Saccharomyces cerevisiae S288C: one gene and its partner. The protein of the gene in region 2 purifies or fractionates together with the protein of the main gene of each other region. This does not show direct contact. Each region holds a gene or a part of one and is shown on either strand. Other genes may lie near its edges.

Evidence for each region.
Region 1: the proteins of ARG4 (region 2) and CPR3 purify together in Saccharomyces cerevisiae (affinity purification with mass spectrometry, with the first as the bait; one large-scale study listed by BioGRID). This does not show direct contact.

Annotation. Positions count from the first base shown.
Region 1 is NC_001145.3:107,935-112,050, reverse strand, and holds CPR3 (peptidylprolyl isomerase CPR3), read right to left. Parts: upstream 1,050-4,116; coding exon 501-1,049; downstream 1-500. Other genes in the region: TRAPP subunit BET5, read right to left, coding at 1-186; CFF1 (Cff1p), read right to left, coding at 1,199-1,804; DUS1 (tRNA dihydrouridine synthase), read right to left, coding at 1,974-3,245; TDA9 (Tda9p), read right to left, coding at 3,519-4,116. UniProt on the Saccharomyces cerevisiae protein: PPIases accelerate the folding of proteins. It catalyzes the cis-trans isomerization of proline imidic peptide bonds in oligopeptides. This isozyme is required for growth on lactate at high temperature.
Region 2 is NC_001140.6:137,130-143,252, reverse strand, and holds ARG4 (argininosuccinate lyase ARG4), read left to right. Parts: upstream 1-1,850; coding exon 1,851-3,242; downstream 3,243-6,123. Other genes in the region: asparagine--tRNA ligase DED81, read left to right, coding at 1-1,359; YSC83 (Ysc83p), read right to left, coding at 3,402-4,559; YSC84 (Ysc84p), read left to right, coding at 4,798-4,844, 5,013-6,123.

The DNA of each region.
Region 1 (4,116 bases), on a different chromosome or scaffold from region 2:
AGACCCTTTGGAGAGCTTTTGTGTAATGGAGCGTAACGAAAATATCATACCATACAGAAGTTTTGCATCTTCTTCATTCTGTTTGGAGTTTATTGTACCACTTGCGCTATTGGACGCCAATGTCCATTCTCTATCAAATATACAGTTACAATGCCTATCAAAGATCCAAAATGAATATATCCCCATGCTCCACTGATTTATGATTTATATCAAAAGCAGATTATCTTACGATAGTTCTGTATTTTTTTTTTGTATTTTTTCTGTAATGTATGTTGGAACTCAATTGTCGAAAATATAAGATCCGGAAATTCTTCAACACTAGTCAATAGTAAAGGACAACATTTCGACTGAGGCAAACCAGAATAAAAGTTGGTTGATTTTTTATGAGCCAGCGAGTCTATATAAAATAAAACACTATAAACAGATATAATTCGTAGACATAGAGATAACGCATACCTTATATGCTAGAAATATGAGAGACCTTAGCTTCATATAAGCCTTCATAACTCACCAGCTTCTTCGATAACGATTTCAGCTCTTGGTTTACCAGAAGCAGTACCGTATGATTCGATTGCTTTGACAATGTCCATACCTTTGGTTACCTCACCAAAGACAACGTGTTTTCCATCCAACCATGGACAAGGCACAGTGGTAATGAAGAATTGAGAACCGTTAGTGTTTGGTCCAGCATTTGCCATAGATAACAAACCTGCCTTGTCATGCTTTTTGACAAAATTTTCGTCAGCGAACTTGGAACCGTAAATGGATTTGCCCCCAAAACCGTTAGTCAAATCAGTGTCACCACCTTGGATCATGAAGTCTGGGATGATTCTGTGGAAAGGGACACCTTTATAGCCCCAGCCCTTTTCGCCGGTACATAAGGCTCTGAAATTTTCAGCAGTTTTAGGAACCACATTATCATATAATTCAAATTCTATTCTGCCGATTTTGGTTCCATTGACCGCAGGATCAAAGAACACTTTTTTACCTAGTCTAGAAGCAGAATTGGAGAATAAGCGGGACTGTTGAATGATGGAACGTTTAAACATGGTAAGTAGACCTTTGTAGTTGCTTGCTTTTTTTTTTGTTTCTTTATGGAATTAAATAGGAAAAAAATATTGAGTTTATTAATAATCGCGGTGCGAAAGGACTAAAATAATTCTTATTGGTTATTTTGATAATAACTAAGTACAAAAGTTCAAGCTAAAAAAGCTAACTCAGCTGCCTTTTCAGGTCCCACAAGATGTTTCAGTTCATCTTCACCCTTCAAGAAGGTATGGTCCTCAAAGTCAAAACCTGGTACCACTACTTCACTAATCAAGAAACCGTTGTCAAATTCTTCGTTTGGCAGAAGGAAACTTGCCTTAAACACACCTCCGGGGACAACCCATTGCGAGACTTCTCCATTCTTATAGTCAAAACCAACTTTAAATGACTTCACTTGACCATCAGGATATACTAGAACGTATTGACCCTTGCCTCTTTGTAAGATATGTATGATCCTGTTAATATTCTTATGAAATTTCCCAATTGGGCTGTCGGGGGTTAGTAGATAATAGATCAACGTAGATTGATTTCTTGTTACCATTTCAGTATTACCTGAGCCTCCATTTACTGGTTTTTCTACTTCCATGGTGTAGGGAGACCTATCTGTTTCCTTAAAATACCCACCTTCTCTATGCTTGATTAATTGCCAATCATTGATCAATTGTTGCAAACTACTTGGTGGCTCAGGCATTGGGACTTTAACGAAACTGGCCGGCTCTATAGCTGCATTTGCAGCTTCTTGTACATTGGCTGACATGCTCTCTATGGCGAATTCTGATTGAATATACAAGTGTTCAAATTGAAAGAAGTTTTCTTATGGAGACGGAGTTGAACATTTTCTGTTTGAATTAATATACATACATAAAAACTATACTTAGAGAAAAGAATAGAAAAGGCAAAGAAATATACATGGATTTTATCAGGTTTTAAGCTTTCACGTCCTTCTTTTTATCAGCAGATTCTAATGGCACGTCAGCTTTACGTTTCTTGTTCACGCTTTCATCTATGAGGCCTTGCATAACTCTTTTATCACCTGTGATACCGTTAACAGGCCTAAAATATGGTTGACATCTCCAGTATGGAACAGTTCTATATGAACCACCCCATGATTGCTTTTCGCCGATAGTAATTTCATCCTTAATAGCGATATCTGGCTGTTCAAATATTTCTTGCACTACTTTTTCGACAGGCTTCACTACTTGTTCCTCCCATTCTTCCCACGTGGCTTTTGCATTCATAGTAGCAAGTGTTGACCTAATATCAGTATGATGCGGCAAGAAAGGCCTTAAAATCTTAAAAAAATGTGATTTCATTGCTGTCTTGGAGGCTTTAGATTCCTGGCATTCTTTGACAATCTGGAAATACTCTCTGATAATCTTATCTACGCGTGGAAATATCTTCTCCTTGTTCTTAGTTTGGCCTACATTGAAAACACCAGGATTGTATAAGTTCCCCTCAGCACTCATCACTGCGTCAGCACCGATATGTTCCATACAACGTGAAATATCTTCAGGATATAAGATATTCCCGTTAGCAAAAAACACGGTTTCTTTAGGTAAATTATCTCTTAGGTATTTGATTGTTTCCCAGTTAGCTAAACCAGTTTTTTGTCCTTTTTGCTCTCTTACTCTCCCATGGACGGTTAAAAATTGAGCTCCAGCATCCAGCACCATCTTGGCGTAATTCAAACTCTTTTCACAGTCGTCAAATATACGTATTTTTGCTGTAACTGGAACTTTCAAATTTTTGTGCAAGGTGTTGATTAAATTGTGTATAAGGTCCCATTCTTCCATCAAAAATGACCCATAGTGACCTTTCTTAGCTATGCCTTGAGGACAGCCCAAATTCAAATCTACCGCATCGCATTTATCTTCCACCAGTTTAGCTGCCGCCAATAGATACTCTGGGTCATTAGCGCAGAACTGTACAACCAACGGCCTATCTACGCTAGAGCCGTCTAAGGAAGACCAATTATCTTCTCTATATTTCTTCGAGGTAGCAAATAATTTTGCATGTAACATGGGAGTGTACGCCAAGGTTGCACCGTATCTTCTCGATAGAATACGCCATGCTAATTCGGATTGGTCTACCATTGGTGCAACGATCCTAGTAGGACGGCCGATCTTGTCAAAAAGTTGTCGACCTGTTAGTTTTTGCATCAGAGCGTTATTAGCGCTACTCAGGGCAGGTTCAGTCATATGCAGTTGATATTGTTTATTGAGCTTATTGCGAGCCTGTAAAAACTTGGATAGTATAGACGATAGCACTTTGGGAGCTAAAAATCTATGTGTGCGTGAGTGCAGTTTGACGATCACCTTGCTTGTTTTTATTTATCATATGTTCTCAACTCATCGATTTTTTTTTTTGATTTTCACGCTTTTAAGAATAAGAAAAGATGATTAAATTTTTCAATTTGCCCTAAAGAACTAATATAATGTTACATACGGATATGCTAAATATCTATCTAAAGTCTATACACTGTTTACAGATTTCCTGTGGTTGATATTGTAAATAGCCCTAGATTGTAAGGCATGAGCAAACAACAGAGATACGGGCCAGACTGGTGTATCGCCAAGAATTCTAGCACCGCAATACAATGTTCTTGATGACAATCTTGTTCTCGTGATTATGTCCAGCGCTTGATTGGTAACATCATGTGAATTCAAAGTATTCTCTATTAAGGATGAGTCCAAACTCTCAATATCAAGACTGCCATTATCTGGAACCCTTAAAAACTCAGCAAATGTTTGTAATTTATACTCTCTTTCAGATAAATGTGATTCGATCCTCTTCAAAGTTTTGAATGCTTTTAACCACAAGATCCTGTCAGTGCTTTTTAAACTACCAATCATACAATCACTGTTTTTGTTTTGAGCAAAGTCTTCCAATCTCCTCATGTACCCCGCTATGACCAATATCGAAACAAAAATACAAGTAATGGTGAAGATTGGAGTCTGTGTCGATTTACCCTTCATTACAGAGACAGTATCAATCCAGAAAGTGATAACGGATACAGCGTACTCTGTGGCCTCTCGTAGTGATTCCCGCTCGTAGCACACTTTTTCTAAA
Region 2 (6,123 bases):
TTGAATATCACCATTAAGGAGGACGAATCGCTACCAGCTGCCATTAAGACTAGAATTTATGACTCTTATTCCAAGGTCGGACAAAGAGTTAAGGTTTCCGGTTGGATCCATAGATTACGTTCTAACAAGAAGGTTATTTTCGTCGTCCTCAGAGACGGATCTGGTTTCATTCAATGTGTCTTGTCCGGTGATTTGGCATTGGCTCAACAAACTTTGGACCTGACTTTGGAATCCACCGTTACTCTGTACGGTACCATAGTCAAATTGCCTGAGGGTAAAACCGCTCCAGGTGGTGTTGAATTGAATGTCGACTATTACGAAGTTGTAGGTTTGGCCCCCGGTGGTGAAGACTCCTTTACAAACAAAATCGCAGAGGGCTCAGACCCTTCTTTACTGTTGGACCAACGTCATTTGGCCTTGAGAGGAGATGCCTTGTCTGCAGTCATGAAAGTCCGTGCTGCTCTACTGAAAAGCGTTAGACGTGTTTATGATGAAGAACATTTGACAGAAGTTACCCCACCATGTATGGTGCAAACTCAAGTCGAAGGTGGTTCCACTTTGTTCAAGATGAACTATTACGGCGAGGAAGCTTACTTGACCCAAAGTTCCCAATTATATTTAGAAACCTGTTTGGCCTCCCTAGGTGATGTTTATACCATCCAAGAATCTTTCAGAGCTGAAAAGTCCCACACAAGAAGACATTTGTCCGAATATACCCATATCGAAGCTGAATTGGCCTTCTTGACTTTCGACGATCTATTACAACATATTGAAACTTTGATCGTCAAATCCGTGCAATACGTTTTGGAAGACCCAATTGCTGGCCCACTCGTAAAACAATTGAATCCAAACTTTAAGGCTCCAAAGGCTCCATTCATGAGATTACAGTACAAGGATGCCATTACCTGGTTGAACGAACACGACATCAAGAACGAAGAGGGCGAAGACTTTAAATTTGGTGACGATATTGCAGAAGCTGCTGAAAGAAAGATGACCGATACCATCGGCGTCCCAATCTTTTTGACGAGATTCCCAGTAGAAATCAAGTCTTTCTACATGAAGCGTTGTTCTGACGACCCCCGCGTCACTGAATCCGTCGACGTTTTGATGCCAAACGTTGGTGAAATCACTGGTGGTTCTATGAGAATCGACGACATGGACGAACTAATGGCAGGGTTTAAGCGTGAGGGTATTGATACCGACGCCTACTACTGGTTCATTGACCAAAGAAAATACGGTACTTGCCCACATGGTGGTTACGGTATCGGTACCGAACGTATTTTAGCCTGGTTGTGTGACAGATTCACTGTCAGAGACTGTTCCTTGTATCCACGTTTCAGCGGTAGATGTAAGCCATGATCTTTAGTTACTGAAGAGTACGTGAGCGCTCACATATATACAAATATTTATACCGATTAATATTTACGTTCCTCCCTCTCTCTAATTATTCATTGATTTATTCAAGAATTAGCGTTATAACAATAAATGGTTGGCGCAGGCAATTAATTTTTCTTTACTCTTCCAAACCCTCTGTTAACGACAATCAAATAACCTGATCTGCCAAGGCTCCATCATATCTGGCCTAGAACAGTTTTTTTTTTTCGATTATTTGTTCGTTCTTGTGGTGGTTACTCATTGGCAGAATCCCGAAAATCATGATTAGTAGATGAATGACTCACTTTTTGGATAAGCTGGCGCAAATTGAAACATGTGAAAAAAAAAAAAAAGGATTATAAAAGGTCAGCGAAGCACAGAACTCTGAGATAAGACTACCTTTCTTTAGCTAGGGGAGAATATTCGCAATTGAAGAGCTCAAAAGCAGGTAACTATATAACAAGACTAAGGCAAACATGTCAGACGGCACTCAAAAACTATGGGGTGGGAGATTCACTGGTGAAACCGATCCTTTGATGCACCTTTACAATGCGTCTCTTCCGTATGATTATAAGATGTATAAGGCAGATTTAGAAGGAACTAAAGTATACACAGCGGGCTTGCAGAAGTTGGGTCTTCTAACGGAGACAGAATTGGCAAAGATCCATGAAGGTTTGGCTGAAATCAAAAAAGAATGGGACGCTGACAAATTTGTCCGTCATCCAAACGACGAGGATATCCATACTGCGAATGAAAGACGTCTTGGTGAACTAATTGGCCGCGATATTGCTGGTAAAGTCCACACCGGTAGATCCCGTAATGATCAAGTTGTTACCGATTTGAGAATATACTGTCGTGACATTGTCAATGACACCCTCTTTCCAGCTTTAAAGGGCTTGGTTGAAGTTCTAATTAAGAGGGCCGAAGGTGAGATAGATGTCTTAATGCCAGGCTACACACATTTACAAAGGGCACAACCTATTAGATGGTCTCATTGGTTGAGCTCTTATGCAACATACTTCACCGAAGATTACAAGAGACTGGGTCAAATACTACACAGATTGAATCAATCACCACTGGGTGCAGGCGCTCTTGCTGGTCATCCTTACGGCATTGATAGAGAATTTTTGGCTGAAGGTTTGGGTTTCAATAGTGTAATTGGTAACTCCTTGGTTGCTGTTTCTGATAGAGATTTCATCGTGGAGTTGATGTTTTGGGGAACTTTGTTCATGAACCATATTTCTCGTTTTGCTGAAGATTTGATTATATATTGTACAGCAGAATTTGGTTTCATACAGTTGAGCGACGCCTATTCAACAGGTTCTTCTTTAATGCCTCAGAAGAAGAATGCAGACTCGTTAGAGTTGTTAAGAGGTAAATCCGGTAGAGTATTTGGTGATCTGACAGGATTCTTGATGAGTTTGAAGGGTATCCCATCTACTTATGATAAAGACATGCAAGAAGACAAAGAGCCACTATTCGATTGCTTAACAACTGTAGAGCACTCCATGCTGATTGCCACAGGTGTTATTTCTACCTTAACTGTAAATAAGGAAAAGATGGAAGCTGCTCTCACGATGGATATGCTAGCTACCGACTTGGCAGATTACTTGGTCAGAAAGGGTGTTCCATTCAGAGAGACTCATCACATATCTGGTGAGTGTGTCGCTACTGCTGAAAGACTTGGTCTAAGCGGTATTGATAAATTAACCTTGGAGCAGTATCAAAAGATCGATTCGAGATTCGGACAAGATCTTTTTGAAACTTTTAACTTTGAACAAAGCGTTGAAAGACGAGATGCTACTGGTGGAACCGCTAAATCTGCTGTATTGAAGCAATTGGATAATTTGAAATCCCAATTAAATTAGCAGATGGCGACGTTATGCGCAAGAATTTCATCAGGTCTGGTACTTCTAGGACTTCATCAACCCTTCTTTAAATACTTATTTTGTTATTAGTATTATATTTTCGAGATTGTGCTATGTATATATATACGTAGATAAGCAATTGTTATCTAATCAAGGATATTATTTGGATGATTTAGAAGATGACCGGCAAAAAAACGAAATAATGCTGCTATATACCTTGGCTAATCTTCCTCTCAAGCGTTTCAGGGAAAGACGTGTGTGATGGTTGAATATAAGTGAAGCAAATGGCCATGAGACTAAATAACTAAAACGGCCGCAATAATACACACTATTGTAACCTCCCAAAGTCGTTAACCAACTTAGCAGTTGTCTTAGTTTATACCCATTCGCACTCATTATCATTTTGTAAACTGGATAATGTAGGGCCTCGTGAATGTCTGAACCGGCCATTCTCAAAAATTTATAGTTCGATGGTTGTGACCCAATCTGCAGGATTCCAAGCTTGATTGTGGAAACATTTAACCTTTGATATTCCTTGAAAATTTTAAATAGTGAGTCGATTATTCCAGACGTTATAATTTCTGTACTATGATGGACTAAGTTCAGGTCCGCAGTCAAAGATGGATTGAACATAATTAGTTGGGTTTTTCTCTTCAAATGGGGTATAATGCTTAATAATGCTTGATAATACACAAATATACTTGAATGAATTTCAGATTCCAATGAGTCACATGAAATTACTCCGGATGGATGATATGATAACCTTGGCATAAACAATATGGATGCTAGCCTTGGTACATCAACAAAAAAACCCTCGAAGTCTTTTTCGCAGGTGGGATCAATGTAATATATGAAATCCTGATCTTCTTCGTGCTTCTTATAGACGTCTGCATTTTCAGTACAAATATATACTGTAAACCGTCTGCGATATAAATCCATCACTTGATTCCTTATGATAGGATCATTCATATCGCCCAGTATTAATACCACTTGAGATTCTGCTTCAGGTAAATTAGGTGGCAGTTTAAAAAAGGTCCTATACCCAAGGTATAAGCACAGGGAGGTGGCAGAAATTCCCAAGCCTAGCTTCCAATGATCCTGGAGCCCGATCCTCAAAGTTTTATATACTTTAGATCTGTTACTGTCGTTTTCCTGTAGTCGAGGAGTCTCCTTGTTGGATATCTTTCCAGATATGGATTCAATTGATTTTTCGACGTGGTTCTTGATCTCATCGCTCAAGACAGCGCTTTTCGAGACGAGCCAATACCCAGCATCAAATATCTGATCCACTATATCCTTACCACCAGACCAAGCCATTTTTATTTGTTTTTTTGAGAGCAAATATCTTCTGTTGTCTGTTTTATATTTCCTGTTTGTATGCCACCTACAACATTTTTACATGTTCCGACGCTGACCGAAAACGACCTGAAGGGAATTAAAGTTGACTACCCCCTAACTAGACCCTGTTCTTAACATTATCTATAACATGAAACTATCTTACACTTCACAGTAAAATTTTCAAGAGTAGTGGTAATATCAAATCCAAAATCCAAAAATGGGTATCAATAATCCAATTCCTCGAAGCTTGAAAAGCGAGACCAAGTATGTTCATATATATGCTTCCTGCTGCCCCTCCTCTAAACTTATGGATGCAGCTAAAATGTTCAAGATAGCTCTCTAGTCTGTGTCCATTGCTTATGGGGCATGAGTTTTCAAAAGTAATGTACTAACAACTTTATGATTGATTTATTTCGAATGTTTTAACTACAGGAAGGCCGCGAAAGTTCTAAGGAGTTTTGTTAAACCAAATCAAGTATTTGGAGCAGACCAAGTTATTCCACCATATGTGCTAAAAAGAGCTAAAGGTCTAGCAATTATCACGGTTTTAAAGGCTGGCTTCTTGTTTTCAGGGAGAGCAGGTTCTGGGGTGATTGTGGCCAGGTTAAAAGACGGTACATGGTCGGCTCCCTCTGCTATCGCTATGGCAGGTGCTGGTGCAGGTGGTATGGTCGGCGTTGAATTGACAGATTTTGTTTTTATTTTAAATTCGGAAGAGGCAGTGAGGTCCTTTTCTGAATTTGGTACAATTACTTTAGGTGGTAATGTGTCAGTTTCCGCAGGTCCTCTTGGAAGAAGTGCAGAAGCTGCAGCTTCTGCATCCACAGGTGGTGTCTCGGCAGTTTTTGCCTATTCCAAAAGCAAAGGTTTATTTGCCGGTGTGTCTGTGGAAGGTTCAGCCATCTTGGAGAGAAGGGAAGCTAATCGAAAGTTTTACGGCGATAACTGTACATCAAAGATGATTTTGTCAGGTAGAGTAAAAGTTCCACCAGCAGCAGACCCCCTACTCCGTATCTTGGAATCAAGAGCGTTCAACTTTACACGCCACGACCATGATGACAACGCTAGCGGTGATGATTTTTATGATGACGGTCAATACAGCGACAACACAAGCCATTATTACGACGATATTCCAGATTCCTTTGATTCTACTGATGAATCCTCAACACGTCCAAACACAAGATCATCAAGAAGAAGAGGAATGTCGCTGGGGTCACGCAGTCGTTATGATGATGATTATGATGATGATGGTTACGGACGTGGTCGCGGGTATGGAGATTTTGATAGCGAAGATGAAGATTATGATTACGGAAGATCTCCAAATAGAAACAGCAGCCGCAATAGAGGCCCACAGATAGATAGGGGTACTAAGCCGCGTGCGAATACCCGATGGGAAGATGATTTGTATGATAGAGATACTGAATACTCCCGTCCCAACCATTCCGGTAGGGATTATGATAATACCCGAGGAAATAGGCGTGGTTATGGTAGAGAAAGGGGTTATAGCCTTGGTCATGGCCCAACTCACCCCAGCAATATGAGC